Linked DNA regions of Sus scrofa. The protein of the gene in region 1 purifies or fractionates together with the protein of each later gene. This does not show direct contact. Links are inferred from orthologs where the notes say so. Each region holds a gene or a part of one and is shown on either strand. Other genes may lie near its edges.

Region 1 (5,772 bases):
GCCTGAGCAGGGGAAGGGTTGGGTGCTGGCCCCCAGAAGTATCTCAGGACAGGGTGACAGCGGCTGCCTCCTAATGCCTTTCCCCACTCCTGGGCCTGGCAGCCCTGTAGCGTGGCTGGTGGACAGCTAACTAGAGGCCTTATCTTGGCAGAAGTGATCCAGGTACTCGGATCGAGGTACAAAGAAAGTCCCAGCTTGGAGGGGCAAGATCCTTGGAGTGAGCATCTGCCGGAGTCGGGGCTGTGGGCCGGACTTCTCCTGCCAGACAGTGTGCAGAGCAAGCACCAGAGTCAAGGGCCCCATCACCTGTCACAGGCAGGTGTGTGTGTTCCCCTCTGGCCAGCTTGAGGCGCCCTCCCAGATGAGTCGCAAAATACGAAGTGTATAATCTTGGTGATTCTACAGAGGAGCTAAACGTGCTGCTATTTGCTTTTAAAACTGGCATCGTGCGGTATAAAAGACGAATGGTAAAATTCATGCTAATAATTTAAATTTCATTTTGCTTAGAAGATTTAACAGCAGATAACACAATAAGCAGACACCTTGGAAGAAAGGATAAGGCGCTTCTACGAACCTTTAATGGCACTCGTTTCCTGCTTTTTTAAACAGGGAGCGCCACGCTTTTAGTTTGCCCTGGGACCTGCGAATCACACTGAACACTGACATGGGGTGTAACGCCGGCATACGGCAAAGCCGCGGTCATCAGCCTCTGAGTTTTGATAACATGTCTTTGCTGGAACGACACTGTGTAATAAGCCTGTGATAACGTGGCTAATAAACAGGGGTTTGGGACTGGCGCATGCACACCGTGGTATATGGAATGATTGGCCAATGGGGACCTGCTGTCTAGCACAAGGAACTCTACCCGATATTGTGAGAATCTATACGGGGGGGAAAAAGCCTAAAAAAGAATGGGTGTGTGCATGTACAACTGAGTCACTCTGTTGTACAGCAGCCATGATCACGACGTTGCGAGTCAACTAGACGTCAATAAAGCGTTTCAAAACCAGCTACTAAAGGAGCTGTTCCTGTTTATTAAAACCCTTCAGAACTTGGTCTTCTTTCGATAAAAGGATTAGCATTGCCAGGAAAACATCACATGAAAAATGTGATGGGCACCGCGAGGACTGCTGATTCATATCACAAGTCAGACATATTAAAAAAAATCCACCAAAGCCAAAACAAGTTCCCTTCAAACTCCAGCAAGCTTTAGCTTAGATCAGGGTTCCCACGCGTGGCCCTGTTGGCATTTAGTCCTGGGACTGTCCTGTGCACCACGGGGGGCGGGGGGAGGGGGTTAGCAGCAGTCCCGGCCTCTGCCCACTAGATGCCAGCAGCACCCTCCCTCCAATTGTGACCATTAAAAAAAACTGTCTCCAGATGTTGCAAATATCCCCTGGGGGGGGAAACTGCCCCCAGAAAGAACCACTGGCTTAGTCGGTCAAATGAGATGCAGAGCAAAGTGCCCCCAGCCCTGGGGAGCTAACGTTCTCATGCCTGCCCTCCAAACCTGTGAGCCGTAAACACAGACTCCCTCCAACCAAGAGATGGGCACATGCCAGAGACTAGGAAAACTAAAGAATTCTTTTATTTAGTCAGAAAGAGGTGGCACAGGACATTCACAGAATAAAAAGGGGAAAAGCACACAGACATCACAGAGATGAACTCTTCCACAGAAGGTCACAGATTCACGCCCCAGAGCAACGGGATGTTTACACGCGAGATGCCAGCGTATCAGTGGCCGACCAGGTTTTCTCTAAGCTCAAGAACATTTAAAAACCCAGACTTAAATTTTCACTCTAGACAGGACAGCTGTAAAGCACACCACTCAGTCCTTCAGACTTCACAGTAAGCACTGCTCCTGAGTAAAGATGTTTTCCTACTATCCCCCCCAATTCCCAACACTTAGAATATAACATCGAAGGTTCCAGAAGTAATCACACAGAGGATGAAAAGCCCAGTTGGCCAAGACAGTCATTCTGTCTGTAAAGCCTTCTTAGAAAAAGAAAGACAAATGCACGGGGTGGACGCTGGCACACCTGCCGCCGAGGAACAGCAAAAGCGACCCCGAAACATCAGGCTTCCTACAGAAAACGCACGGTTCACGGCAGCACGCGTGTAGGCCGCGGCAGGGGAATGCCAGCCTCGAAGGGCGGGCAGTGTTAGACCCGGCTCGCCGCTCGCTGTCTCTGGGCCAGGCTAGCGCATGCCCAGGATCTGCCTGCTTTTCAGCTGGTACGTTTTCTCAATGTCTGCCAGGGCCTGCGCCCGCAGCTGAGCAGCATGGAGCCTCCTCTTCAGGTCTTTGCACTTGGATTTGGAGCTGAGCTGACTCTCAGGAGTCTCGCTCCTTGCGACGTTCTCCTTACTCTCCCCGCTGAAGTGAACCTTCTTCTTCATTCCCGAGGTCGGAAGATCAAAACGCTCTTCAGGGAGGAAAAAGAAGAGGGTCTGAGTTACGTGAACAGGAGTTCAACTCCCCCGTACTTGGCAGACTCACCGCAACAGTCACCCTGTCGCTTCACACGTGAACCCCGGGGACCGGCTATTCTCTCTGGAACCAGAGCGTGACAATTCAGCTGAGGAAATACTCAAGATCTAACTGGTTTTACTCAACGATTCATTTTTTTGGTTTTTTTTTTTTTTTTTTTGCCATTTCTAGGGCCGCTCCCACGGCATATGGAGGTTCCCAGGCCAGAGGTCCAATCAGAGCTGTAGCCACCGGCCTACGCCAGAGCCACAGCAACACCAGATCCGAGCCACATCTGCGACCTACACCTCAGCTCACGGCAACACCGGATCTTTAACCCACTGAGCAAGGCCAGGGATCAAACCCACAACCCCATGGTTCCTAGTCGGGCTCGTCAACCACTGAGCCAGATGGGAACTCCTGCTCAACGATTCACGATGCTGGCAGCATCCTACCTACCAGACAGAAAGCCCTGAGGAGCTGTGCAGAATGAAAGACCTTTACGGGCAGAGGGGACGGGATGAGGAAGTCACTCTAGCAGGGAACAGATCTGCGTGGCAAGGTCACCTTAATTCAGTGGACAGCAGGTGTCTACCAGGCAGATGACCTTACTACTGCTGACGAGGTCATGCCAGATTGACTGCTTTAAGATTCCATTCCTGGGAGAGGCAGAACCTGTAATTAAGTTAGGTATTAAGTCTTGGTTTGGTGACATTTGGTGATAACTGACTCCATTTTGGACCTGTTATCTCTTTTGTAACAGGCTAGGGGCATAGGTTTGGCAGAAATCAATCAGGCTTTTAATCTGCAGCCAAAAATCGAGGAGCATATGTTTTATTCTCCTAACACTCAACCTTCCTGTTAAGGTTAAATGCACAGAGGATCACAGTCTCTAGTATGAAACGTCTGGAAAGCAATGTTCTTTATCTCTATTCTTGAAAACAAGTGCCTTTCTGCCTACAACGCATGACTCCCAGGAAAGCATGGACGCAGAAGCTCTTCCTTACAGCAAAGCACCTACAGTTCTGGCGAAATACTTAAGAACACTTAGAGCGGCTTAACTGCCCAGAAACTTGTTTCAAAAAGAACCTAAGCCAGGGTGGCAGGGTAAAAGCAGAGGCAACACAGTAAAAGTTAATCAAGTTAATAGTGAGTGAAGATGTGAATTGTACTTTTAACATTTAAAAAAAAAAAAAAAAAGAAAGAATTTCCTTCAAGTGTCTACACTATTAGGAACTGACAGGTTTGAATTCTAGAACAAAAAGGTTCTTTTTGTTTTTCCTTTGTGTTCATGTAAAGGAAATACGGTCGAATGTTTACTGAGCTCACTGCGTGCCGCTGGGGACCAAACAAAGGCCCTGTTGTGGTGGGAGGAGAGAGACCACAACAAACAAACAGGTGCATGTGAGGAGTCTCCGAGGGGATGTGTGCTCTGGGCGAAAAGGAGACAGATGCAGGGCTGTTTGCAGTCATGCAAAAGACCTCGTAGTAAGACGGCTCCTGAGCAGAGACCTGAGGAGAGGGAGGAAGTAAGAAGCCAGCCGACTACGTGGAGAAGAACATTCCAGGCCAAAGAACAGGAGGCGCCCTGCAGGAGTGGGCCGCACAGAGAAACACTGCCTTCGCCTGCCTGACTTCTACTTCCTACACTGCTTCTCCGCCAGCCTTTCAGGAGATGGCTTTTAGGCCCTAAGTCTATGGTTTCAAACAGATCCACCTTTATGACCTCAAATACCTGAACATTTGTAAACCAACAGTATAAACTGTAAATCTTACTGAGATAGTTTTGTAAGAAAGAAAAGGGTTTAGAAAAAAAGTTAGCATTTCTTTTTTGTTGTTGGCCGCCCTGTGACACATGGAGCTCCCGGCCCAGGGATCAGATCCCAGCCACAGTTGTGACTTAAGCCACAGCTGTGGCAACACCGGATCCTTAACCCACTGTGCAGGGCCGGGGATCGAACCTGGATCCCAGCGCTCCCAAGACACCACCGCTGATGCTGTTCTTGCTACAGCAGGAACTCCTTGAATTAGTATTTCATTAAACGAAACGAATTAGTATTCATTAAATAGACTAAGGAGAGCTTTAGAAAAGATGCTCTTAGTTTATTTGTTTTCCTCGTGTCTGAATTGCAGGACCCAAGGAGGGGAGGAGGACCTTCCCAACTGTCCCGAGTTCATAAGGACACTGCCCCCCACTGCTTTGTTGCTCATCTGGGGCTCGGATGTGCTCAGTACTTTAAAATATCTCCTACCCACAGTGGATGCTCCACCCTACAGCTCATTTTCAGTAATTGCCGCGACTCGCATACAGGTAGGTTCCTCTACCCACGGATCCCACAGAGTGAAACACACCGTCCTTCTTAGCTTTTCACCCTTTGCTCAAAGACGCTCGGGGCAAGATGTCGATAAACTCTATAACTGGAAGATCTGTCCCCAACGGCGCCCTTGATGATTCTTGGCAATGAGCTTGATGCCTTCAACTCACCCAGTTAAAAATCCCCCCTCACTCTATCGATCATGATTTAAGTGTAGTTTGTCTTTATGGATGGCAGTGTGGAATCGAAGAAAAACTGAAATAAGTATAAAAATATTGAAATGTTAAAATAGCAATAATGAGGGAAAAAAAGATATTTACTGCCATCACTAATTTCATTTCTTTCTATCACTTATTACAAAGCATATGTAGATATTAATCAATCGCTTTTTCTTTTATTGGCTGCACCCACGGCACATGGAAGTTCCCGGGCCTGGGACTGAACCCGAGCCGCTGCAATGACAACGCTGGGTCCTTAACCCACTGTGCCACAAGGGAACTTCCCAAGCAATCACACTTGGACGCATACGTTTCAGCTGGAACAAGTCCTCATAAAGATCCCAAATGGATGGCCTTTGCTATCGCTGGTTTATCACACCTTTGAAGCCATACTTTCTAGGAAGGCTGTGTAAGTATTATTTGGTCATGTGCAAGAGGGAAATGCTAGGATTTTCACTGGAAAATGGAGGGAAATGTAGAGTTTTGAGAACATATTCAGAGAAAAATCTGAAACGCACAGCATATTTTTAAAATGACCCAATTTTAAAAAATAAATATCAGATACAGAACACATAGTTTGATAAAGAAAAAAAAAAGCTGAAGATGAAATCGTCCTGCCTCGCGTCTCACGCCTCTGACCCCAGTGAGTCAGTCACTACTAGAACAGAATTCTTGTCTCCACTGAAACACATATGTTCAATTAACTCCCTCTTACAATTCGAGACTCTGGAAATTAAAAGGGCTACCGGAGCCCCCTTGGGGGCAATGC
Region 2 (5,288 bases), on another chromosome or scaffold:
TTATATCCAGTCAGACATTTAGCATCAGTACAGAGAAGTTCTATCATAGCAGGGCTCAGTACTAATATAGATTCAGAGTAAGTGTCTGGATGCATCATGTTTAACGTTCTTAAAAATTTAAAGGAAGTGTCGTTTCTGTTTGTTATCAGTATTTGAACATTTTTTCACTACATCTAATGAATGAATTTGAAAATAAGAAGAACAAAAGGAAAGAAATTACAAATTGAAGCTTTTTTTGAGCATCATGCCCCTTAAAAAAATTTTTTTCCTGCTCTTTTTTTAAAATGAAACCCAAAGTTTGGCAGTATTTTAAAGTCATTGCTTTCAAATTGGCAAATTAGGAGTTCCCATCGTGGCTCAGTGGTTAACGAATCGGACTAGGAACCATGAGGTTGCAGGTTTGATCCCTGGCCTTGCTCAGTGGGTTAAGGATCTGGTGTTGCCATGAGTGTGGTGTAGAGCTCTGGTGTAGGCTGGCGGCTACAGCTCCGATTGGACCCCTAGCCTGGGAACCTCCATATGCCACAGGAGCGGCCCAAGAAATGGAAAAAAAAAATTGGCAAATTAGAAGAACCACTTTGGGGCTTTATTTTGTAGCAGACTGTAGTTGTGGACACCATTTGGGATAACATCAGATCTTTCTGAGTGGGGTTATATTGAATCCACAGTTCTTAGAAGACTTATTAGAAAGTCAATTCTAAAAGTTTTATGAACTAGGATTTTAAGAGGCCAGCTTGAATTGTGCTGCTTTCTGTTTTATAGGACGGCCCCCTGGTCCTGAAATGGAATACTGCACAGACAGAGAGTCCTACTCTTTAGCGGCTGGCTTGGCCCTGGGCATGGTCTGCTTGGGGGTGAGCACAGTCTGTCTTCAGTTACGACATCTGCTTTTAAGACAATAACCTTGGCACTTTACTCTGAAGACCACTCTGCCTTATTGTGACTTAACTTACCCAGATTCTCAGCTCTTCCTTCTTTTCTGGATATTTCTCAAAGTGCCAGGTTTGGGAAGGGAGAGAAATTGTAGTGAAGAGTGGGGCTTTAAGGTTTCTTTCCCCTGGCTTAGATGTAAGTGTTTATGAATGAACTAAGGGAATGACGTTTTTCAAAAGGAGCTCAAGACATAAGATGAAGAAGTGACAAGTCACTCAGTCAGAAAACGGTGAAAATGTGTGTATGATGGGAACCCTTAAGGGTCTGTAGTCATTATTAGAAATAAATCGTAACCTTCTTTTGGAGCCTTGGTGTTCACTCAGTACCCCAGAATTTAGCCACAATTGCAGCTGCTTTGTGACAGAATGCAGAATCACCCTGACCCATCTTTAACCCCATCCAAGAGACATAGTGTTGAGTTAGCAGAAACATTTCATTAAATGAGTTTGTCAGCTAGAATCTAGGTCTTTGAAGAACTGCCAATACATTGTTACAGTGAAACTGAATTATATAAAGAAAATTGACTGTTAGGTTTATGATTCTTCACATTTGATGCGTGAACTAAAGAGACAGATGATACAGTGCAAAAGCATCATACTGGGAATTGGGACCTGAATTCTGGTCATGACCAGTGAGTCGTGCCATTTAACTGCAGTCATGTCTGCTGGTTAAGCAACTTGATAGACTGGAGCCAAATTGCCTTGTTTTATATGCATTAACTATGTAGCCCTATGCTAATATTATGTAGCCTTGAGTGTAATCTCTCTGTGCCTCCCTTTTCTCACCTTTAAAACTGAACTGTTTAATAGAATTATATTAAGTAAGTTAATCAATGTTAAACACCCAGAATTTCCCTGGAAGAGAGTTAAGTGTTCAGTAAGTTATTATTATAGTTACTATTGCCTGAATAGTTCATAGTAGTGAAAGGATTCACATATTCATAGTTCAGATTTCATTTACCTACCTAGTATTTTTTTAACTCTTAATGCAGTTAACTGTATTTTGAAACCTTTGTGTATTTTATGAAATTATATGCATTATATGTATAATGATTTTTAATGAAGTATTTTAATTGATAAAAAACCTCAGGTACCTGGCATTGAAGATAGTTTCTTCTTTTCTTTGTCATTAGTATGTGTTACGGATCTCATTCCATAAGACCTCCTTTCACATGTGTGTGATTTTGCTTTCCAGCATGGTAGTAATTTGATAGGCATGTCTGATCTCAATGTTCCTGAGCAGCTTTATCAGTACATGGTTGGAGGCCATCGGCGCTTTCAAGCAGGGATGCACAGGGAGAAACACAAATCTCCAAGTTACCAAATCAAAGTAAGTCCAGATCAAGCAACAGATCAACATTATGGAAGCTAGGAAGTTAATATGAAAATAGTAGTTTTCATGTCAACATTTGTAAACATGTTAATTTTAAGCATAGGCTAGTATTCAGAAGAATTTAAAATAATTCAGAACTCTTTTATACAAATAAGATTTTCTTTCGATAGGAAGGAGATACCATAAATGTGGATGTAACTTGTCCGGGTGCCACTCTTGCCTTGGCAATGATCTACCTAAAAACCAACAACAGGTACTGCATCCCTTGCGGTGATGGTGTGACTTCTTTTCTGACCTCACTAGGAACACTAAATAGTCTTACTGTGTTTATCTCCCCTGTGCTAGATCAGCCTGGTTTTAGTGCTGTCAAATGCAAGTTATATAGATTTTTATCCAAAAACCATACATTTTGTTATTTTAATGATATTTGATAGTATAGTTGCCAGTTTCTAGCCACTTTTGTTTTATAGTTGTCACTGGCAATCAAACAATGTCCAAATTCCTTTCCATTAATTTTGTAGGTTGTTTGTTGTGAGGACTTGTTAAATTAGAAATACTTAACATTCTTATATTCCTGGTTACCATTCATAAAAGTGGTTTCTAAGCTCTTAGTTCAAGAGCTTGCCTAATGACCATACCTTCTGCCTCCCCAACTCCTAGTAAATAGTGCTGACACCTGAAAGTAGACCTTTGGTGTTTATTCTTTGACATTTTGCATAGAAGAGTAAGTTGGACAGGAGACAGACAGTAAACCATGTTCTAAAAGTCTTAATTTAAAAAACTTTCTAAGAGTCAAGAAATTTTTCAAAGTTGTAAATTCCTTTTTTAGAAAAAGTGAGTATTTGCAAAATTAACAAGGTGGTTAAAACCAGATTTATTCATCGTTTTCATAAAGGCATATGTCATTGCTTCCTGAGCACTGGAGATACTTCACTGAAGAAACAAAACTAAAGATATCTGTCCTTAGGAAGCTTATAGTAAGGCATACCTACATACCTAATAAATTTTACATTGGAGAATGTAAAATACTATGGCAAAAAGATAGGGCAGTTGTTGGAGTGGAGAGAAAATTCTTGAAATTTGTCTTGGGATTCTTGATTATCTTGCCCTCTTTTTGAGCAATAATGTTTACTGATATCCTCCACCAACAGATCCATTGCAGATTGGCTCCGAGCTCCTGACACCATGTATTTGCTGGACTTTGTGAAGCCAGAATTTCTCTTACTTAGGGTATGATACTTTGCTATTTTTCCTCTCTGTTAACATGAGGAGTCTATTGTGATTCTTAAGTTTAGCTTGCAAATATAAATGTCTCTCTAAGAGAGCATTTTACTGTGGATCCATCGTGTGTGTGTGTGTGTGTGTGTGTGTGTGTGTGTAAAATTGGTAATATTCTTTTGAAATTCCCCCGGTATAACTGTAGAAATTGCCAAGAAAGGCAACCGCATTGATATGTAAAACTTGGAGTGACATTTCAGCTTCTCACATTATTATTCAAAACTTCCTACTAAGCAATAATTGACTAGGGCTTCATTACGTCTTTATTTTGCACTCTTTTGTTATTAAGGATGCAATCATACTATTAAAGGCATTATTAGTAACAGAAATTGTTTGACATAATTGCTTCAAATTTTTCCTCTGCCTTGATGGTTAAATGTACTTAGCATATGAAAGGCTTTAAATTATGGTGACAGAGCTGTATGATTTTTCTTTTATGGAACAAGTTTTAAAAACTTCTTCCAAGGTATCCAAACTTGGATGATGACGAACTCAATTTTAGGGGGTCTTTTTGTGGTAAAATGTAAATCTTCAGTTTATTTTAATGAGTTAGCTTAGGTTGATACTATATACCTTATTTTTCAAAATGTTCATCAGTTCAGAACTAATTCTTAATTGTTCTGTTTATGATATTGACTTTGTTACAAAATCTATGAACTTTATCTGCTGTAACTAATTTTTCTGTATTGCATTTTTAAGACACTTGCTCGATGCCTGATTTTATGGGATGATATTTTACCAAACTCCAAGTGGGTTGATAGCAATGTTCCTCAAGTACGTATGTATAATAAGTATTATATCTTTAATCACGTGAAATTATGATTTCTTGTGGGATTTCCAAAACCCTGAAAGTACTTTTTCTCTTGAAGGCAGTATTGATGTTTTTCTTGAAAACATAGGAACTTTCATTTTAAGATTGTGTGCTGAGCACAGACCATACTTTCCTTTTTCAGTTACAGAGCCCTAGAAATTGTGATTTTTTTAAAAACTAAACGTCTCAAAGAACCCTAAAAAAGTATTCTGACATTTTTATCCTAATTAGGTACATATTTATTTAAGGTACTGTTTTACCCTGTGATAATTTTTTATATTGTATATAATAAGTGTTTTCAATTACTTAATGGACTTGGTGTTTATGATTTGATGATTTGCAGTACATAAGAAGATTTTATCATAAGCATCTTCTGAATACTTATTGGTTTATTATAGAAAGCATCCTGATGCTTTCTGAACAGTCTTCTAAAAAGAATTATAGGAATAGGAGTTCCTCTTGTGGCTCAGTGGGTCGGGAACCTGACATAGTGTCCATAAGGATGCGGGTTTGATCCCTGGCCTCCCTCAGTGGGCGAAGGATCTGGTGTTGCTGCAAGCTGTCGTGTGGGTCACGCATATGGCTTGGATCCCACATTGCAATGGGTGTGGCATGGGCTAGCAGCTGTAGCTCTGGTTGGAACACTAACCTGGGAGCTCCCAGGTGCTGCAGGTGTGGCTGTTTAAAAAAAAAAGAAAATATAGGAATAAATATTAAAAGTTTTACTTCTGTGTACTTATATGCATACGTTTAGAAAATATATACCTTTATCTTTTTTGGGGGGGAGGGGTTCTGTAACTGCAGCATATGGAAGTTCCCAGGGGTCAAATCAGAGCTTCAGCTGCTGGCCTATGCCACAGCCATAGCCACGTGGGATCCAAGCTGCATCTTGGACTTCCACCCCCGCTCGCAGCAACGCCATATCTGTAACACA
Region 3 (5,726 bases), on another chromosome or scaffold:
CCCTCCCGGGCAGGGGCTACTCTGAGCCAGGAGTGCCCAGGGCCGCCTCTTCACCCCACCCGCCGCAGGCCCCGGGGTTGGGAGCCTGGACCCCTGGCTCCCGGGTCTGGGCCCCGAGATGATGGGCGAGCCGGCAGCCGCGGCGGACCTGGGTGGAGGAGCCGCGTCTCCAGAGCAGCCTTGAGGGACACGAGCAGCTGCTGCCGCTGGTCGGTCCTCTCCAGGCAGTATTTGAGGTCCTCGATGGCCGGCCGGGAGTCTGGGAAGTCTGTGGGAAGAGGCCTGGTCCTGGCACACGCACACGGGCACGCACACACTGTGCACGTAGAAAGACGCTCGGCAGCAGCCCAGAGCGAGCAGCCAGGCCTCTGCGGGCTGCGGCAAGGCGCCTGCTCGGGCCTCGTGCAGCCCTCACGCTTCCTGCGCCCGCACACTTGACCACCGCCACCCCGGGGAGACAAAGTGATGCCCAGAGCCAGCCCAGAGCTGCCCAAAGGGCCTGCCCAGAACAGAGACCAGGCTCCAGACCCCGGGCTGGGGCCAGCTCTGCTCAAGACCCCAAGGCCCAGATCTGCCCCCCACAGCACCCCCTGCCAAGAGCTGAAGAACAGAGGGGCTGGGAAGGTGCCCCGGGCGGGCGGGGCTGACCTCGGATGATGCTGAAGAGCTCCTCGATGCGCAGACCCGCGTAGATGCGGTAGAAGAACCTCTGCACGTGGCAGCGCCAGCGGCGCAGCGTGCTGCCGGCCTCCGCCGACGCGGGCCTGGAGGGGCCTTCCTGCAGGAACACCTTGCCCAGCCAGCCGACCACCCTCTCGATCCACTGGGGGGAGAGCACAGCCGTGGGGTGGGGGGGAATCCCCGAGGCCAGAGCACCCGGAACCCACGCTCACCTCTGCCAACAGTGGCCCTGATGCAGGGCGCCACATCCGGGTGGACAGACACACCCGGCGGGTGACACACCCAGCAAGCCCCCCAGGCAGCGTTTGGCAGGACGTCCCTGAGGGTGGGCAGGTGGGCTGACAGGAGGCGCTGCGGCACGGAGGCCTCGCGTGTCCCCCACCGCTGCCTGGGCGCGGCAGACCTTCCCTGGGGCCTTGGGCTCGCACCAGACCCCACAGCGGGCATGCTCATTTTAAACACCACTGCCACGCGCAGCTCATCCACAGTCAGGAAACCCAGGCCAGGACGCGGGGGAGGGGACAGGGGAAGTGGGAGCAGCGTGGTGGGCCCCAGAGCAGAGCCCTGAACCACGCCCCACAGCCTGGATATCCCGAAGCCCCCTCAGTGGGACACCTCAGGCCCTGGCACTGCCTCCAGCCATGTGATCCTGCACAGACCTCACGGCAACGGCATAGACGCCTCCTCGCTGTCACCGGGGTGGGCACAAAATGGCCAGCCTCCACCCAGCACCAAAACAGCTTCCATCCCCAGCAAAGTGCTAATTCACCCCAGTCTCCACACACTGACCACTTTTCTTTTGTCTCTTTAGGGCCGCACCCGAGGCACACAGAGGTTCCCAGGCTAGAGGTCTAATAAGGGCTACAGCTGCCGGCCTACACCACAGCTCACGACAACGCCAGATCCCTTACCCACTGAGTGAGGCCAGGGATCGAACCCGCAACCTCACAGTTCCTAGTCGGATTCGTTACCCACTGCGCCGCGACGGGAACTCCAGACCAGCCCCTTCTAAGTCCAAGAAACCTCCACCCTAGTCTCCGGGGACAGAGCCCGAGGCGCCTCACCTTGTGGAACTCGCGCAAGAAGGAGCGCTCGTACTCGCCCCGGCAGCGGTCCTCCATCCTCTCCCGGGTCGCCTGGCGCAGGGAGCTGGTCACGGCCTCCGCGCTGACCCGCTCCAGCAGACTGAGCCTGTGTCTGGAGGGGGGTCCTGGCCGTGGAGCCCACAGAGCACACATGCACCCGCCCTCGCCCCGCCTCCCCAGGGCCGCCCTCTCCGGGGCACAGCTGTTCCATGGGCTCAGAGGAAAAGCCGCCAGGAGGACAAAGCACTGGCAAATCCCTGCTGCCCTCCCCTGCGGGCCTCTGCCCAGGCTGGGGCGAGGGCCTCCCCCACGTAATCGCCATGGCTGGCTGCTGGGGCCGAGGACGCCTCTCCTGGAAGGGGCCCTCAGACAACGGCTAAATACAGCACTACTCTGGCCACATACAAATAACTGCAGCTGCCTGAGTCATCGACGCATGTCGTGACTGCGACAGCAAGACTCCCGAGAAGTACAGGTTCTGTGTAATGGGCCACACCTCGGTCCAGCCCAAAGCCTAAAGCTGCACTGCTGCCCCTTCACTGAAAGGAACAAAACTGTCCCAAGTGGCCACTGAGAGCAGAGGGTCCACACGACAAGACCTGGCTGTGACACCAACAAAGTCCTCTCCTTTCAAAGGCCGCAAAAGCAACCTGTTCGCCCAGCCTGTCGGGCTCATCTCCTAACTTGTCTTAAAGACAGAAGAACAGCAAGCCCATCTTTCGCGAGTACAGGCAGGATAAACGTCATTCCCCCACCGCCACCCCGACAGGCTACAGAAGGCACAGCAGAGCGCTGTAGGGCCCAGAAAATTTGGGATCCTGTCGGTCTTAACGGAAGCAACGTGTGAAACCCTGAGCTAGTGTGAGTGACAAACACGCCTGTGACCAGGTGGAAAGGCATAAACTCCCAGCACAATGTTCCCGGAGCCCCTCCTGTGGCCATGTCCCTGACTTCCAGGACAGGTGACAGAGACCGCCCCCAGCCGGCTCGCCAGCTCTCTCCAGAGGAGCAAGCAGGAGCCAGGAGGAACAGGCAACGCAGGTGCAAGTACTCACAGGACTTGGCTGAGGTGGTGGAACTGCTCCAGCGCCTGGCGGCACCAGCACTGTTGCTTGTCACTGCCACACCCGGCGCACAGCGGGCTCTGCAGAAGGCGGTAGTACCGGCGACGGGCGTACCTGCTGTCCAACTCCCCCTCCAGTTCAGGATCTGTGCCCCCTTCCCCTTTTCTCTTACTCTGCATGTATACCCTCAAAAAGCGCCCATAGAGACGCTGGATCATCTCCTGGAAAGGTCTGGGGGTGGAAAAGAACAGGACGCCCCGCACGGTGGTGTGGACCTTTTCGCGAAGGCCCTGGGCACCAGTGCCCATGAGCAAGCCCAGGCGAGTCCACTTCTCCAGGAGCTCTAGACTCCGCAGGTAGGGATCCAGGCGGCTCTCCAGCAGACCGAAAGCATCGAGGAGCAGCAGAAGGCACTGGGGCTCGTCCGCGCAGTTCTCGCGCTGGGAGATGGTATTCCAGAACTCGAGGGCGATGCTGGCCTGCAGGTCATTCTGGAGCACCTCTACGAACCATTCCTCCAGGACCGAGTGCAGTCCGTGGCTCCTGAGAACCTCCACCGCCGCCCGGAGCTCCTCCTCCTTTGGAGGGACCGCGCCGCTGGTCCGGGAGGATGCCTGGATTACAGAAAACTGTGAGTGGAAGGAAACACCACGCAGAGATGGAGAAGACGGTTACTGGCAGGCAAAGGCGGGAAAGGCAGAGAGGAGGGGAGCCCACGGAAACGCCGCTGCGCTTCGTCGCAGGGATGCACGGCCGACTCTCGGAAAGGGCTGTCGAACCAGGAGGGAGTCTGGAGAAAAGCGGCACAGGGACCCGTAGAAACCCGAGGAGAGGCCGCGCAGGGTCCTGGGCACCCCACGCGGGCCCGCCGCCCTCTTCTCGGGCCTCACCAGTCCCAGTGCGGCCGGCGGCACCAGCCCGGTGCTCACGGTATTCCACGCTACCAGCAGCTCCTGGGCAGGCCCGGGGTCGTTCTGCTGCTCCGCCGCCGCCATCTGCGCCCACCAGCTCCCAGAGCCGCCCCGTGTGGCGCGGGGAGATGACGCAGGGCTGGGCGCGCGCGCGCGCGGCGGTGACGTAATCCGGGCCCGCCGGCAGGGATGCGGTAGCGGCGGTTGGAGCGGCCGGGACCCCGGACGGCCACCATGACCCAGCAGGGCGCGGCGCTGCAGAACTACAACAACGAGCTGGTCAAATGTGCGCGGCCGCGCGGCGGGGCTCCCTGGGCTGGCGGGGAGGGCGTGGCGTCGCCGGCCCGCAGGGCCCGGGCGGTGGTCGGCTCGCAGCGCGCGGCCGAGTGTGTTGTACAGTCCGTAAGCGGCTGTTCCTGTCCGGGCGGCGCCAGCGCCGTCGGACCTGCCCGACGCACAGCCCCGGTGTGGGGCCCGCCCCGGGCGCTTGGTATCTGTGGAGCGAGCGAAGGACAAGCGGCTTGAGCACGCACGGCCTCCCAGCCCCGCGCCGAGGGTTCTGGTGCGGTGCCTACTTTAACCCTGAGTCCCCCGGGACGTAAGACACTGGCCTGGCTCGGGCGGAAGGTGGTCCAGCCGGCAGCCGGTCCTCCGCTGCCTTTCTCTCTCCTACCGAGCAGCGGGCTTCAGAGTTGGGGGGTGGGGGGCGGTGCCTTCTTGCCTGCCCTGGGCCCACAGCCCCTGCCCCTCTCGGCCCACCCCAGGCATCGAGGAGCTGTGTCAGAAGCGGGAAGAGTTGTGTCGACAGATCCAGCAGGAGGAGGATGAGAAGCAGCGGCTGCAGAATGAAGTGAGGCAGCTGACCGAGAAGCTGGCCCGAGTCAACGAGAATCTGGCCCGAAAGATCGCCTCTCGTAACGAGTTTGATCGGACCATCGCGGAGACAGAGGCCGCCTACCTCAAGGTGGGACTTGGGGCCTGCATGTTGGGACAAGTCCCAGAAGGGCCCACCGACAGGCAGGCCGAGGGCCCACTGTGGAGTGACAGAGCAGCTGCTAGCGTGGCTTGGACGGTACTTCTTCCTGCGTAACTCCCTAAGACCAGCAGGAGCCAGAGCGACTCTGCAGGGAGCGTAGGGTAGACTCAGGAGGAAAAGGGCCCTGGCAGGGAAGGGCTGTGGGAGCTTCCCAGAGGGGGGATGGTGTAACCACTGGCGTTTCTGCTCCCAGATCCTGGAGAGCTCGCAGACTCTGCTTAGCGTTCTGAAGAGGGAAGCAGGGAACCTGACCAAGGCCACAGCTTCAGAACAGAAGAGCAGTGGAGGCAAGGATAGCTGACAAGGCCGCCGGCAGAGGGGCCCGCCTCCACCGCGCCCACCTAGGGCTTCGCCTCCAGCAAGTCTTCACGGCCTCTTTGTTCTTCACGGCAGCGGCTGCTTTCTCTCCTTGTTCTGGGTGCCGAGAGGCAGCTGCCAGCCACCACTGGCTCTGGGTGACAAGGAAGGCCTCGCTGCAGCCCACCAGCTGGGTGTCCTGGCCCTGTGCTCACACAGGTTCTGGGTCGGTCAGTTCTGCTCGGCCTCTGAGGGCCCCCCCACACCCCTGGGCTGCAGGGAAGACCCCGCTTCTAGTCTCGGCATCATGTCACCCTCACCTTATCACTTGGCCAGCAGGTGCCCAGGCAAGTGGGAAGGGGCCAGGGCCCTCCTTCACCTCAGAGCTGACCCTGGGGCCGTAACGTCAATAAAGGTTGTCTTTGTTAAGATACACGCCACCCTGCCGCCTGTGTCCTGGGTGGGGCTGCTGGCCACCCTAAGCCGGAACACAAACCCCTGCTCAGCTGTAGTGGGGCTCCTCTGTGAGCGGGCGAGGAGAGGGCCTGGCATGACTTTCCCTGTGACTGGCCTTGCTGGCCTTGGGGACCGCTAGGGGTGCCGCTAAGCATGTCCCGAGACGCTTGTCGCCCACCTTCCCCCTCAGAACTGC
Region 4 (6,004 bases), on another chromosome or scaffold:
TCTCCTCCTTTTCAGGTACTTAAATCATGCCCTGCATTAGCACAACTCTTTGTGCCCATTTTCCTGTGTAGGTTAGCAGCCAGTTGATGGCAGGACCTGTGGACATCATTGTGAGTGTTCACTGGCTCATAGAGCTGTGTCCTGCCCACGGTGATATCAGACCAGCTGCAGTATGCATGGCCTCAATCCTCCTCCCACAACCCTGGGAAGCAGGTGCTCAGACTAACACCTTTCCTCACCTTCCCAGTAAAAGCATCAAGTGAATGGAAACGGTCACTTATGCTTCCAAACCCAACTGTGTGCTACATGATAATATGATGCTGATAGAACTGCCCAAGGAAGGAAAGCTTAAACAAAATGCACAGGAAAATCCAGCTCATTTGATGCGATTTGAATTGGAACATTAGGACATAAGTTAAATTACTTGAGGGTCAGCTGGAAGGTCATTGCAATAAAGAGAAGATAAGATCTCTGCCATTTGATTTCAGGAGATTGTGTATAAATGTACCTCATCAAGGCTGCAAGGAGAAAAGGCATCAAAAGTGAGCAAGCAGATCTCAGAGAGATGAGGGGCGAGTTTTATCAGCTGGACAGTCACAAGAGTTTCATGCTATTGCGGTGCTTGGTACCCTTGCAGACTAGAAGGGTGACATCCGGTGTCTTCTCCTCTGAATGAGGAAGTCTTTCAGTGACTGCGTGGGAAGCCAGCACTGCTGAGGGGTCACTGGGACCATTTTTTAGTTCACCTAGAGAAATAGGAAGTACGTTCCTAAGTTAAGATTTATGAATGGAGAACCAGCCTTGTGTGTGCCAGGAATAGTCAGGACAGGTCTTCATCATTGTTTGGGGACTAACAGAGCATAGAGGCCACCTGGTCCTCAAGGTTATTAAACAGTATCAACTACAAAGCCCTTAACAACAAAAAGAAGTGATTTACCACACATTACAGGCTTGCGTAGGGTCAGTGGAAAGACAGGAGGAACTGTACGGACCCGAGGCGGTGTCAGTTCTGCTAACAACCACACACCATCCCAGAACATTAAACAATATCTGAAAATGCATTTCATGAAGAACAAAGGCAAGTCCATTCTCCCCATTAGAATATGGCCTCTGGTAGAATTGGGGGGAACATGCTAAACTGCAGCAAAAGCAAGGACAAAAGGCCGTCTCCGAAAGGGAGCAGGGCAAGCATCAAGAGTTACGCACAGTGCCTGGCACAAAAAAGTGCCTCGGACACTTGTTGCTGAATGAATTCGTCTACCTCTGTCATCTGTTTCCCAGGGCTAGATCCATAGAGAGGGGAGGAAGATGGGGCTCGTTCAAAACTGAAATCCTGCTGCTTTCTTTGAACAAGCAAAAGGAGTGAAAGGTAGCTGGCTTTGTACCACAGATTTTAAGTTCAAGCATCGCAGGGTGGTACTGTCACATCCTCTTAGCCAGGTTCATAACTTGTGGGAACTTTTTAACAAGTTAACATATTTAAATGTGTCTGTAACAAGAAGCACCAGATAGGTTCTGATTTACGCGTCCTGCCAGGCTGACCTGTGAGCCTTTGAGGGGGAGACCCCATGTCCCGTGCATTTTTGTGGCCCAGACGCCTTCATACAGCAGATGCTGCAATAGCTGTGGGACAAATCTTGGGGAGCCCGCAGTCCTCATGTATGAAGATAGGGCCACTACTACCAATAAGTTGTGAGGCTTAAACGGGATTCAGAATCAAGATATTTATGTCAGGTTTAAGAGCAGGGCTCTGGAAGCACCTAGAGCGTTTTCATAAATAGGGTCCAAGCCCATATTTTAATCGGCCTGAAGTGCTGCCCGGGTAAGGGTTTAAAAAAACAACAACAACAAAACCGAAGTGATTCTATTGAGCAACCAGGACTGAGCACCGCTGCATTGGAGGCCGTCAAAGTGGCTCCAGCGGCTGGAGACCGCTCTCGAGCTCTCGCGAGGAAATCCGGGACCCGGAAGTGCCCGGAGCGCGCGCGCCGGGCGGCGGGGAAGCTGCGGCGCGCGGCTGGCGCGGGGCGGGAGGGAGGGAGAGGGTGCCTTCCCTGCGGTGGGGCATCTCTCGGGTACCGCCGCATTTGGGGCTCTGCAGGAAGGGCCGGGGACCGAGGTGCCACAGGCACCAGGCCGGCCGCGGAGGGGGTCCCTGCTGCCTTCCGAGTGGGGTGTCCTTGCAGGGCCGCCCCCATGTTGCGTTTCGCGACATGTTTCCCGTCCTTCCGGGTGGTGGGAGAGAAGCAGCTGCCACAAGAGATCATTTTCCTGGTCTGGTCACCCAAGCGGGATCTCATTGCTTTGGCTAACACGGCAGGCGAGGTGAGTGAGCCGGCGTGCCACCTGTCCACCCCGCCCCTTCCTTCCAGACCTGCTGAAAACTAAGGGACTGGATGTGGGGCAGGTCATTTATATGCCCATTTCCTGCATTTTATGGGCCAAACAAGTTTCCACACAGCTTGACACAGTCAGACAGCCCTGCATCCCCAATTCTCTTTTAGTCATTTATGTGTTAAATAGGCTTTTTAAAGACTCACGATGTGTCGTTCATGATCTAGACATGGTAGCGGGTCCACAGATTCTGCCCATAGTTTACTTGCAGTTTAGACCGAAGAAAAATGACCTATTGTCAAGCTTCAGCTGCGAATGACCATGCATATATAGAGAGCTGCCACAGAGGTTATATTAAGAATCTATATTTCATTGTACAAGTTTTACAGTATAGGTTGGATAGCTACCTCCCATTAAAAACACTTTGAAGTTAAACCCATGCTTCCCTGGATTCCTGATGGAATGTGCAGGAGTGTTGTCAGTTAGCATTTCTAGTTCACATGATATTGCATTTCATCCAGTGTGACCCAGTTGTACCCACCTTTCTGCTGAGAGTTCATCGTTACCTGGCAGCCGTATTGTAAGGAAACCCTCACCCGTGCATCTTTACTCCTTTGACCTTTTGGCAGGTTTCCTGGTTATCTGGCCAGATGAGAGTTGTGTTATGTGCAGCCAAGTTTGGAAATGAAGTGGTGAAGAGAATATATCTGCCAGGAAAACTTAGCAGCCTTCAAAGCTATGTTGACTGTCAGGACATTGTTGCCAGGGGCTTTCTCAAGGCCGTCTATGAACCCTTCTAGCCTCCCACCCCTGCCAGGATGCTTTGGCGCTCCGGGACTCTAGAGAGGAGTGCGAGATAGTACAGCTATAGTAGCAGGAAGGAAGGGAGAGAATTGGGGCATCAGTGTGATCACATGGATGTAATTGTGGTCACTTGTTGCTTCCGTTTTCTCAGTGAAGAAGAAGGAGTGCTGTTTAGGAAGAAGATGGGAGAAGAAAGTATTGGAAGCTTGAGAAAAGAGAGGCAGTGAAAAACTGACAAGTAGACTAGTAAAATCTAATGGGATTGTTGATCAGCATCAGGAGCCACATGAGGTTAGTGGTTTTGCAGTTTGATGGAAACTAGTGCGCTGGGTTGTATGTATGTCTCTTCTATTCCATTCAGCTGTGTGGGCGCAGGCATGATTGGATTTAACCTGGATTGTTGTGACAGTGTGACAAAGCAAGAGGGATGCAAGGGAGCTGAAGTTACATGCAAGAGGGATGATTGGGATGATGAAGTTTGAATTCTGACCCGATGGAGTAGGGAAGGGAAGGCGTGTGTGGGGTGAGGGACACTGAAGAGGTGGTAGAATCAATGGATTGGATGTCTTGCTGAAGCTGAAGAATTGATGTTGGATATTAATAGGAACGAATAGGAAAGATACAGGCAGTTTTGGAAAGTGGGAGCTTTGGAACCGAAGATTATGGCAGCATTTGTAGTTGTTGGTAATAATAAGGTCACAGGCATGACCCTGGAAGTGACTGAGTGACTGAGGTGAGGTAGAAGATGTGATCATTGACGGAGAGGTAGTTGAGAACCAAAAAACCAGGACATTGCAGCTCTTGAAATCACCAGGAATGACCACGAGTGGTATTGGAAACCATGTGTGAGCCAGACAGGAGTCCGAACCTCCCAGGAATGGGGCGGCGGGGGGGGTGGCCTAGGGGTCTGTAGATGACTGCAGCTAAGAAGGATAGCAGGTGGTATGGTCTGATTGCATGTGACTCAAAGTTAGAGGATTTTTAAAGTGAGAAAAATTCCCTGCTCTGGCACAGTGGGTTAAGAATCCAACTTCAGGGAGTTCCCGTTGTGGCTCAGTGGGTTACAAACCCTGCTAGTATCCATGAGGATGCTGTTAGATCCCTGACCTTGCTCAGTGGGATAAGGATCTAGTGTTGCTGCAAGATGTATTGTAGGTTGCAGATGTGGCTCATATCTGGTGTGACTGTTGCTGTGACATAGGCGGCAGCTGCAGCTCTGATTCAGCCCCTGGCCTGGGAATGTCCATGTGCTATTGGTGCGGCCATAAGGAAAAAAAAAAAAAATCTGACTGCAGTAGCTCCAGTCCCTGCAGAGATAGGGGTTTGATCCCTGGCCTGGCACAATGGGTTAAATGATCCAGCATTGCTGCGGCTGTGGCGTAGGTTGCAGCTATGGTTCAGATTCAGTCCCTGGCCCCTGAACTTTCATATGCTGCAGATGAGGCCATAAAGTTAAAAAAAGAGAGAGAAGACCTCCCAGGAATGGGGGGGGGGGGGCGGTGTGTGGCCTAGGGGTCTGTAGATGACTGTAGCTAAGAAGGATAGCAGGTGGTATGGTCCACCATCTGGTAAAGGCACCCAAGTGTGTTATGCTATAGCCCTGAGGACTGAACTCCCCTCTTCCATGTGTTGTTACAGGGACAGTCCTTGTACAGGAAAATGCTCTAAGTCTTACAGCTTAAAGGTCATCTGTATCAGTGGTGCTTTACGAAAAACAAAAGCAAAGAACAAATTGTTTTTATAAACAATATAAGAAGTATGTAAAAATGCCCTGAAAACATATCGATTACAGATAACAGCTATTTTTGTCTGTACTGATTTTGCTCAGATCTTATTCATCTTTTACTTTAAAAAATGTGTAAAATTCGAGAACTTAAAATAAGTAAAATTAGAGAACTTTTTGTAAGTTTTTAATCTTCTGGCCCAGTCGTAGCACGGCCATGCAGAGCAGCCACCACCTGAGAAGCCTGTAGGGAGGCAGCGTTTTCAGGTGAGAAGCACCTTTCAGGGAGGAGAAGGAAGGTCCTGATTCCTGACTGTGAATTCCAGAGGGCACACAGCAAGGGTTTCAGAAGTAAGGAAAAGCAGAGGTGGGCTCGGAAAAGAGCATTGAGTCTGGGGGCTGAACCGTTCCTTGGGAGTTCTGGATTCCCTGTAACCTGGAACAGGCGTGCAGGGTGCTCTGAGGTTAGCTGTGGGGGTGGGAATTAAGGGGTGTGTGTGAGTTGGGGGGGGCGGGCCTTTAGGAGCACCTGCAGTTCTAAGGCTTTTTTTGTCTTTATTCCCAATGGCTGTAGAGAGGATGGAGTAGGGACCACTTTTATTTTAGCACAAGGTGCTCCAGGGCATTCTCTTGGCCCTCCGAGGTGGGCATTTTCCTGTGTGTAAATGGAATGGCTAAGTGACTTGTCTGAGCCCATGGCCAGTAAGTGACACAGCTGAAACTGTTGTGTGATTCCAAGTTTAGTGTTATTTAATTATATACAGCCACCTTTCCCGTTCCGTTTGTGTCCTTTATTTCTTTTTTTGTCATCTTGTTGGATATCTTCATATTGCTTTCTGAAAAATAAGTCTCTTGTTGACGTAAAAGGTGGGGAAAAGTATAGGATACAGAGTTAAATTAGACCTCTTTTCACCTGTTTTTCAGATATTGTTATCTTTTAATTTCTTCTGATAGCTCAATATTATACTTGATATGAGTTTTTAAAAATTCTATAGTGGGGATCTAAGATTATTTTAGTTTTGGAAATGGATTATTTATTATGTGCCATTATATCTGTTTTGTCTTAGGTTTTACTTCATCGACTTGCAAGTTTTCATCGAGTTTGGAGTTTTCCACCAAATGAAAATACAGGAAAGGAAGTGA
Region 5 (5,816 bases), on another chromosome or scaffold:
AGCAAGTGGTGTTGGGAAAGTTGGACAGACACATGTAAATCAATGAAGTTAGAACACACCCTCACACCAAACATAAAAATAAACTCAAAATGGCTTAAAGACTTAAATATAAGACACGACACCATAAAACTTCTAGAAGAGAATACAGGCAAAACATTCTCTGGCATGTGTCATACTAATGTTTTCTTAGGTCAGTCTCCCAAGACAAAAGAAATAAAAGCAGAAATAAACAGCAAAAGACACCATAAACAAGCCAAAACACAATCAATGAACCGGGAGAAAATATTTGCAAATGATGTGACCAACAAGGACTTAATCCCTGAAATATACAAATAGCTTATACAGCTCAATAACAAAAAACCAAACAACCCAATTGAAACATGGGCAGAAGACCTAAATAAACATTTCGGCAAAGACGATATACAGATGGCCAATAGGCACATGAAAAAATGCTCACCATTGCTAATTATTAGAGAATGCAAATCAAAACTCATAATGGCCATCATTAAAAAGTCTATAAGAGGAGTTCCCACTGTGGCCACAATGGGGTCATCAGTGTCTTGGGAGCACTGAGATGCAGGTTCGATCCCCAGCCCAGCACAGTGGGTTAGGAATCTGGCATTGCTGCAACTTCAGTTTAGGTTGCAGCTGTGGCTCAGATCTGATCCCTGGCCTGGGAACTACATATGCTGAGGGGTGGCCAAAAAAAGAAAAAAAAAAGGTCTATGGGAGTTCTCACTATGGTGCAATGGGTTAACAATCTCACTGCAGGATATCCTGCTGTGGTGCAGTGGGTTAATGATCTGGCTTGTCTCTGTGGTGTTTCGGGTTTAATCCTTAGCCCCAGGCAGTGGGTTAAGGATCCGGCATTGCTGCAGCTGTGGCACAGGCTGCTGATGTGGCTTGGATTCTGTCCTTGGCCCAGGAACTTTCACTTACCTTGGGTTCAGCCAAAAAACGTTAAACAAACAAACAAAAGACTCTAACTGCAATGGCTCAGGTTGCTATGGAGGCTTAGATTCAATCCCTGGCCTGGGATACTCCATATGCTGCGACAAATGCTGGAGAAAAAGGAACTCTTCTACACTGTTGGTGGGAGTGTAAATAGGTGCAGCCACTATGGAAAATGAAGTATGGAGATTCGTCAAAAAACTAACAATAGAATTGCCTTATGATCCAGCAATCCCACTCTTGGGCATATATCCAGATAAAACTACAGTGCAAAAAGATACAATTACCACTATGTTCATAGCAGCACTATTCACAAGACATGGATGGAAACAATCTAAATGTCCATCAACAGATGAATGGATAAAGAAGATATGGTATGTATACATACATAAAACGGACTACTACCCAACCATAAAAAATAATGAAATAATGCCATTTGCAGCAACATGATGGACCTAGCGATTATTAAGGAAAAGTCAGTCAGAAGAAGAAAGTCAACATCATGTGATATCACTTATATGTGGAATCTAAAATACAACACAAATGAACATATATATGAAACAGACTCAGACATAGACAACAGACTTGTGGTTGCCAAGGGGGAGGGGAGTGAGGGAGGGAAGTATTGGAGGTTTGGGGTTAGCAGATGCAAACTCTTATATGTAGGATAGATTAACAAGCACAGGGAACTGCAGAGCACGGGGAACTGCAGTCAATATCCTGTGATAAACCATAATGGAAAATATGAAAAAGAATGTATGTAAGTACAACTGAATCAAAAGAATGTATGTAAGTACAACTGAATCACTTTGCCGTACAGAAGAAATTAACGGAAATTATAAATCAATTATACTTCAATCAAAAAAGTAAAGCCGCCTGCAGGTGCCCATAACACCTGAGGGGGGGCGTGGCACTTTTTGCCTAGAGCTCCTGTGGCAGCCAGTGCTGCCCCTGGCGCCTGATTGAAATATTTAATTCCAGCTGTTAGGAATTCCTCCCCCACCTACAAATAACTTTTATGATGTTAAACACTTTTTATTAATTTATGAAACACAAATTCCTCTCAGACGCATTTCAATTGAGCATGTATACATTCTGAGGTGTCTTTTGTCTGCAGCCAACTGTAAACCCTCAATAAAGACTGCAGTTCAGAAGGCTGGTGTAACTCTTACTAAAAACAAAAACCCCAAAAACCAAATTGTACCGCTTCACACGAGGCATGGCGGGGAAGGAATTGAGGTTTGTTTGTTTGCTTTTTTTCAGGCATTTCAGTAGCTGCCTATTATCTTGGGGGCGGTGCCTCGTTTGGATCCGATGGACCCCGGCGGGGCCGCCATTTTGGAGTCTTCTCTAAGGAGCGTCTACCGGCTTTAAGCGCTGGTGCCGCCGCTCCCCGCGGCCTGGCTGGGCGGAATGAATGTGATAGACCACGTGCGAGACATGGCGGCCGCGGGGCTGCACTCCAATGTGCGGCTCCTTAGCAGCTTGTTACTCACAATGAGTAATAACAACCCGTGAGTTGAGGCGGGGAGCGGCCTGGGGCTGAGGAGAAAGCGGTGCGGGTTTGGGAGCGGGGGCTGAGGGGTCCGGAGACTGGCGGGAAGAAGCGGCTGCGGGCTTCAGCTGACGTTCCGGGGTCAGCGAGGGTCTCGCTGGGCAGAGCCGACTTAGGAACGCTAGTTGAGTTTACTAGGTCCCAGCGGTAGACCAGGCACTGGGATGAGCTCCCTGTGGGGGATTCGGCGAGCGGCGCTTTCTAGATATGGGAGGCGGAGGCTCTGAGGACGACCCTGGCGAGCGTTCCCCGAAAGTTAGGAGCAGAGGTTTTCTGAGGCACCTGTCGCCGGGCATTGCGCCTGTCACATCGTTGGGCTAACTCCTCCCTTCCCTACCCCTTTTCGAAGGACATTTCTTCGCTCGCCAAGGCTCAAAGAAGCCCAGTTCTAGTTTTAGACTTTCGTCCCACATCTGAGATTGATCTTTCCTTTTGGGTATATCAGCAAGGTTCTCTTAATCGCCCCCGAAAATGGGAGACTTTCTTGGTAAGTGGGAGTGGCGCCTTTTTAAGCAGTGCCTCTTTCTGTTTGCAAAGCTGCCATTTTTAGAGTTTTATTACAGGTACAGCACAGGGCTGTTTCCAGCTTTGAGTGCATATCGTTCCTCTGCTTAAATTTCTCCAAAGTGCTTAAATTAACATTCCTTCCCACGGCCTAGGAGGTCAAATATATAGCTCTCCTGCTCTATCTCACCTACTCTGCCCTCTGTACTTCAGCTTCCCTGTCTATTCTTTCTGTTACTTGAACAGACCAAGCTGGTTCTCAACTCAGGACTTTTGCATTTCCTGTTCTGCTTGGAATCCTTACCTCAGAGCTGCCTCCTCATGTAGGTTTCAGTTCAGATACATCTCTTAGAGAACTCTTCTCTGGCCATTAGAATTGTCCCTTATTCTCACTATTTTATTCCTTTGCTCTGTTTAACATTTTGCGTCTTTTTTTTCCCCCAAACTGAGGTGTAATTGACATATTAGTCTCATGTGGAACATAATGATTGGATATTTGTGTGTTTAGTGTATCTATTACTGCACATAGTTACAGATTTTTATCTTATTTTGCTTTTTTAGGGCTGCACCTGTGGCATAGGGAAATTCCCAGGCTAGGGGTAGAATGAGAGCTGCAGCTGCCAGCCTACACCACAGCCACAGCAACGCAGGATACATAACCCACTGAGCAAGGCCAAGGATAGAACCCACATCCTCATGGACATTAGTCAGGTTCTTAACCTGCTGGACCACAATGGGAACTCTGAATATTTTTTTCTTGGGATGAGAACTCTGTTTTTTTGGCAGCGCCCATGGCATGTCAGGTTACTGGGACAAAGATTGAACCTGCACCACAGCAGTGACACTAGCTGCCGCAGTGACAACACCGCATCCTTGACCTGCTGTGCCATGAGGAAACTCTGTGATAAGAACATTTAAGATCTATAGTCTGCATCACTTTTTTGTGTTACTGGTTTTTTGTTTTGTTTTGTTTGTTTTTTGTCTTTTTGTCTTTTTCTAAGGCTGCACTCATGGCATATGGAGGTTCCCAGGCCAGGGGTCTAATCGGAGCTCAGCCACTGGCCTACGCCACAGCCACAGCAATGCCAGATCTGAGCTGCGTCTGCAACCTATACCACAGCTCACAGCAATGCCAAATCCTGAACCCACTGAGAGAGGCCAGGGATCGAACCCGCAACCTCATGGTTCTTAGTCGGATTCATTAACCACTGAGCCACAATGGGAACTCCTGTTTTGTTTTTGACCTCACCTGCAGCGTGTGGAAGTTCCCAGGCCAGGGATCAAACATGCACCCACAGCTGTGACAACACTGGATCCTTTAACCAGCTAGGCCAACAGGGAACTCCTTTTGTGTCACTCTTTAACATCTAATGAAGTGAGCACAGTGCTTTTGTGCAGCAAGCACTCAGATGTTTATCATTGAATGTGCTGAGGAAGGGCATACAACCTCAGGAAGGTAAAATACCATGTTCAAGTTCACACATTTAATAAGAGGAGGAGCCACAATGTCTGGATTTTGGTCCTCCTGACTTGGAAGTCTCCATTCTGACCCACCGCAGTCTACTGCGTTTAAATGACATTATAATCTTCTACTCAGGATGGACCCATTTACCTTTGGCCTTGCTCTAGATGCTGTCTGAGCCACTTAAAAGTGTGTTGCCACTATTGCTACCTATTTCATTTTCATTAATGTGCTTTTGGACCTCACTATGTGAGACCCATCATTTTACCACTGTCTACTTAGTACAGACAGTGTGGAGCACTGGTCTCTGTTAGCCTTCTTTGTTTATTCTGGAGGCTTTCACCTAGTTCTGGGTGATTTGTCAAAGCATAGTGTCTACCATTTGGAATTTATGCACCAGTTAGTCATTGTTTTGGGTTCTCAAAGATGTTACAAGATAGTTGGAAGGAGTTTGATCCTCTGATTAGACTTAGCCCATTAAGTTAAACTGGCAGTTTACTTCCTAGCTTCAAGAGGTATATAAATTTTTAGAGTTTTCATTTATATTTGAAAATTTCTTTGTTGCCAGCACACACCATTAAAAACAAGGTCCATCTGTAGTTTTCGAGACTGAGAGAAAAAAAAAAAAATCGGAGTTCCCGTCGTGGCGCAGTGGTTAACGAATCCGACTAGGAACCATGAGGCTTCGGGTTCAATCCCTGCCCTTGCTCAGTGGGTTAACGATCCAGTGTTGCCGTGAGCTGTGGTGTAGGTTGCAGACGCGGCTCGGATCCCGCGTTGCTGTGGCTCTGGCGTAGGCCGGTGGCTACAGCTCCGATTCGACCCCTAGCCTGGGAACCTCCATATGCCGCTGGAGCGGCCCAAGAGATGGCAACAATAACAACAACAACAACCAAAAAAAAGACAAAAGACAAAAAAAAAAAAAAAAAAATCAAACAGTATTAAGGGGTATGCAGATAAGTGTCTGACCTTGAGTCTTGAATCTCACTCCATCATTTTCCTTCTTCAGAGGTAACAACTTAGCACTTTTTCATGTATCATTTCAGAGATAACCTATGCATTTATAAGTAGGCATGTATGTTATATAAATATCTGAATGCTTTCTCTGTAGTATTTCTATCAAATCAACTATTTTCTTTCAAATCTTTTTTTTGGTGGTGCCAGTGGCATGTAGAAGTTCCTGGGCCAGGGATTAAACCTGAGCCACTGCACACACAACGCCAGATCCTTAACCCACTGTGTCACAAAGGAACTCCCTCTTTTCTTTTTGCTGTTTAGGGCCGCACCCACAGCATATGGACATTCCCAGACTAGGGGTCTAATCAGAGCTACAGCTGCTGGCCT

The links.
Region 2: the proteins of NEK2 (region 1) and ANAPC1 purify together in Homo sapiens (affinity purification with mass spectrometry; 3 studies listed by BioGRID and IntAct, with this or other methods). This does not show direct contact. The link is inferred for Sus scrofa from reciprocal best matches to the Homo sapiens genes NEK2 and ANAPC1.
Region 3: the proteins of NEK2 (region 1) and ANAPC2 purify together in Homo sapiens (affinity purification with mass spectrometry; 4 studies listed by BioGRID and IntAct, with this or other methods). This does not show direct contact. The link is inferred for Sus scrofa from reciprocal best matches to the Homo sapiens genes NEK2 and ANAPC2.
Region 4: the proteins of NEK2 (region 1) and ANAPC4 purify together in Homo sapiens (affinity purification with mass spectrometry; 6 studies listed by BioGRID and IntAct, with this or other methods). This does not show direct contact. The link is inferred for Sus scrofa from reciprocal best matches to the Homo sapiens genes NEK2 and ANAPC4.
Region 5: the proteins of NEK2 (region 1) and ANAPC7 purify together in Homo sapiens (affinity purification with mass spectrometry; 3 studies listed by BioGRID and IntAct, with this or other methods). This does not show direct contact. The link is inferred for Sus scrofa from reciprocal best matches to the Homo sapiens genes NEK2 and ANAPC7.

The regions. Positions count from the first base shown.
Region 1 is NC_010451.4:131,556,320-131,562,091, reverse strand, and holds the end of NEK2 (serine/threonine-protein kinase Nek2), read right to left. Parts: intron 3,146-5,772; coding exon of another isoform or gene 3,039-3,145; exon of another isoform or gene 3,038-3,038; intron 2,427-3,037; coding exon 2,200-2,426; 3' UTR 1,565-2,199; downstream 1-1,564. UniProt on the Homo sapiens protein: Protein kinase which is involved in the control of centrosome separation and bipolar spindle formation in mitotic cells and chromatin condensation in meiotic cells.
Region 2 is NC_010445.4:44,569,782-44,575,069, forward strand, and holds part of ANAPC1 (anaphase-promoting complex subunit 1), read left to right. Parts: intron 1-762; coding exon 763-854; intron 855-2,127; coding exon 2,128-2,262; intron 2,263-2,435; coding exon 2,436-2,518; intron 2,519-3,416; coding exon 3,417-3,495; intron 3,496-4,242; coding exon 4,243-4,317; intron 4,318-5,288. UniProt on the Homo sapiens protein: Component of the anaphase promoting complex/cyclosome (APC/C), a cell cycle-regulated E3 ubiquitin ligase that controls progression through mitosis and the G1 phase of the cell cycle.
Region 3 is NW_018084833.1:710,666-716,391, reverse strand, and holds the start of ANAPC2 (anaphase-promoting complex subunit 2), read right to left. Parts: upstream 3,881-5,726; 5' UTR 3,826-3,880; coding exon 3,721-3,825; intron 3,445-3,720; coding exon 2,822-3,444; intron 1,879-2,821; coding exon 1,746-1,878; intron 824-1,745; coding exon 649-823; intron 269-648; coding exon 149-268; intron 1-148. Other genes in the region: SSNA1 (Sjoegren syndrome nuclear autoantigen 1), read left to right, coding at 3,976-4,027, 4,506-4,705, 4,971-5,078. UniProt on the Homo sapiens protein: Together with the RING-H2 protein ANAPC11, constitutes the catalytic component of the anaphase promoting complex/cyclosome (APC/C), a cell cycle-regulated E3 ubiquitin ligase that controls progression through mitosis and the G1 phase of the cell cycle.
Region 4 is NC_010450.4:19,299,276-19,305,279, forward strand, and holds the start of ANAPC4 (anaphase-promoting complex subunit 4), read left to right. Parts: upstream 1-1,977; 5' UTR 1,978-2,196; coding exon 2,197-2,325; intron 2,326-5,928; coding exon 5,929-6,004. UniProt on the Homo sapiens protein: Component of the anaphase promoting complex/cyclosome (APC/C), a cell cycle-regulated E3 ubiquitin ligase that controls progression through mitosis and the G1 phase of the cell cycle.
Region 5 is NC_010456.5:31,786,193-31,792,008, reverse strand, and holds the start of ANAPC7 (anaphase-promoting complex subunit 7), read left to right. Parts: upstream 1-2,258; 5' UTR 2,259-2,364; coding exon 2,365-2,465; intron 2,466-2,855; exon of another isoform or gene 2,856-2,977; coding exon of another isoform or gene 2,978-2,993; intron 2,994-5,816. UniProt on the Homo sapiens protein: Component of the anaphase promoting complex/cyclosome (APC/C), a cell cycle-regulated E3 ubiquitin ligase that controls progression through mitosis and the G1 phase of the cell cycle.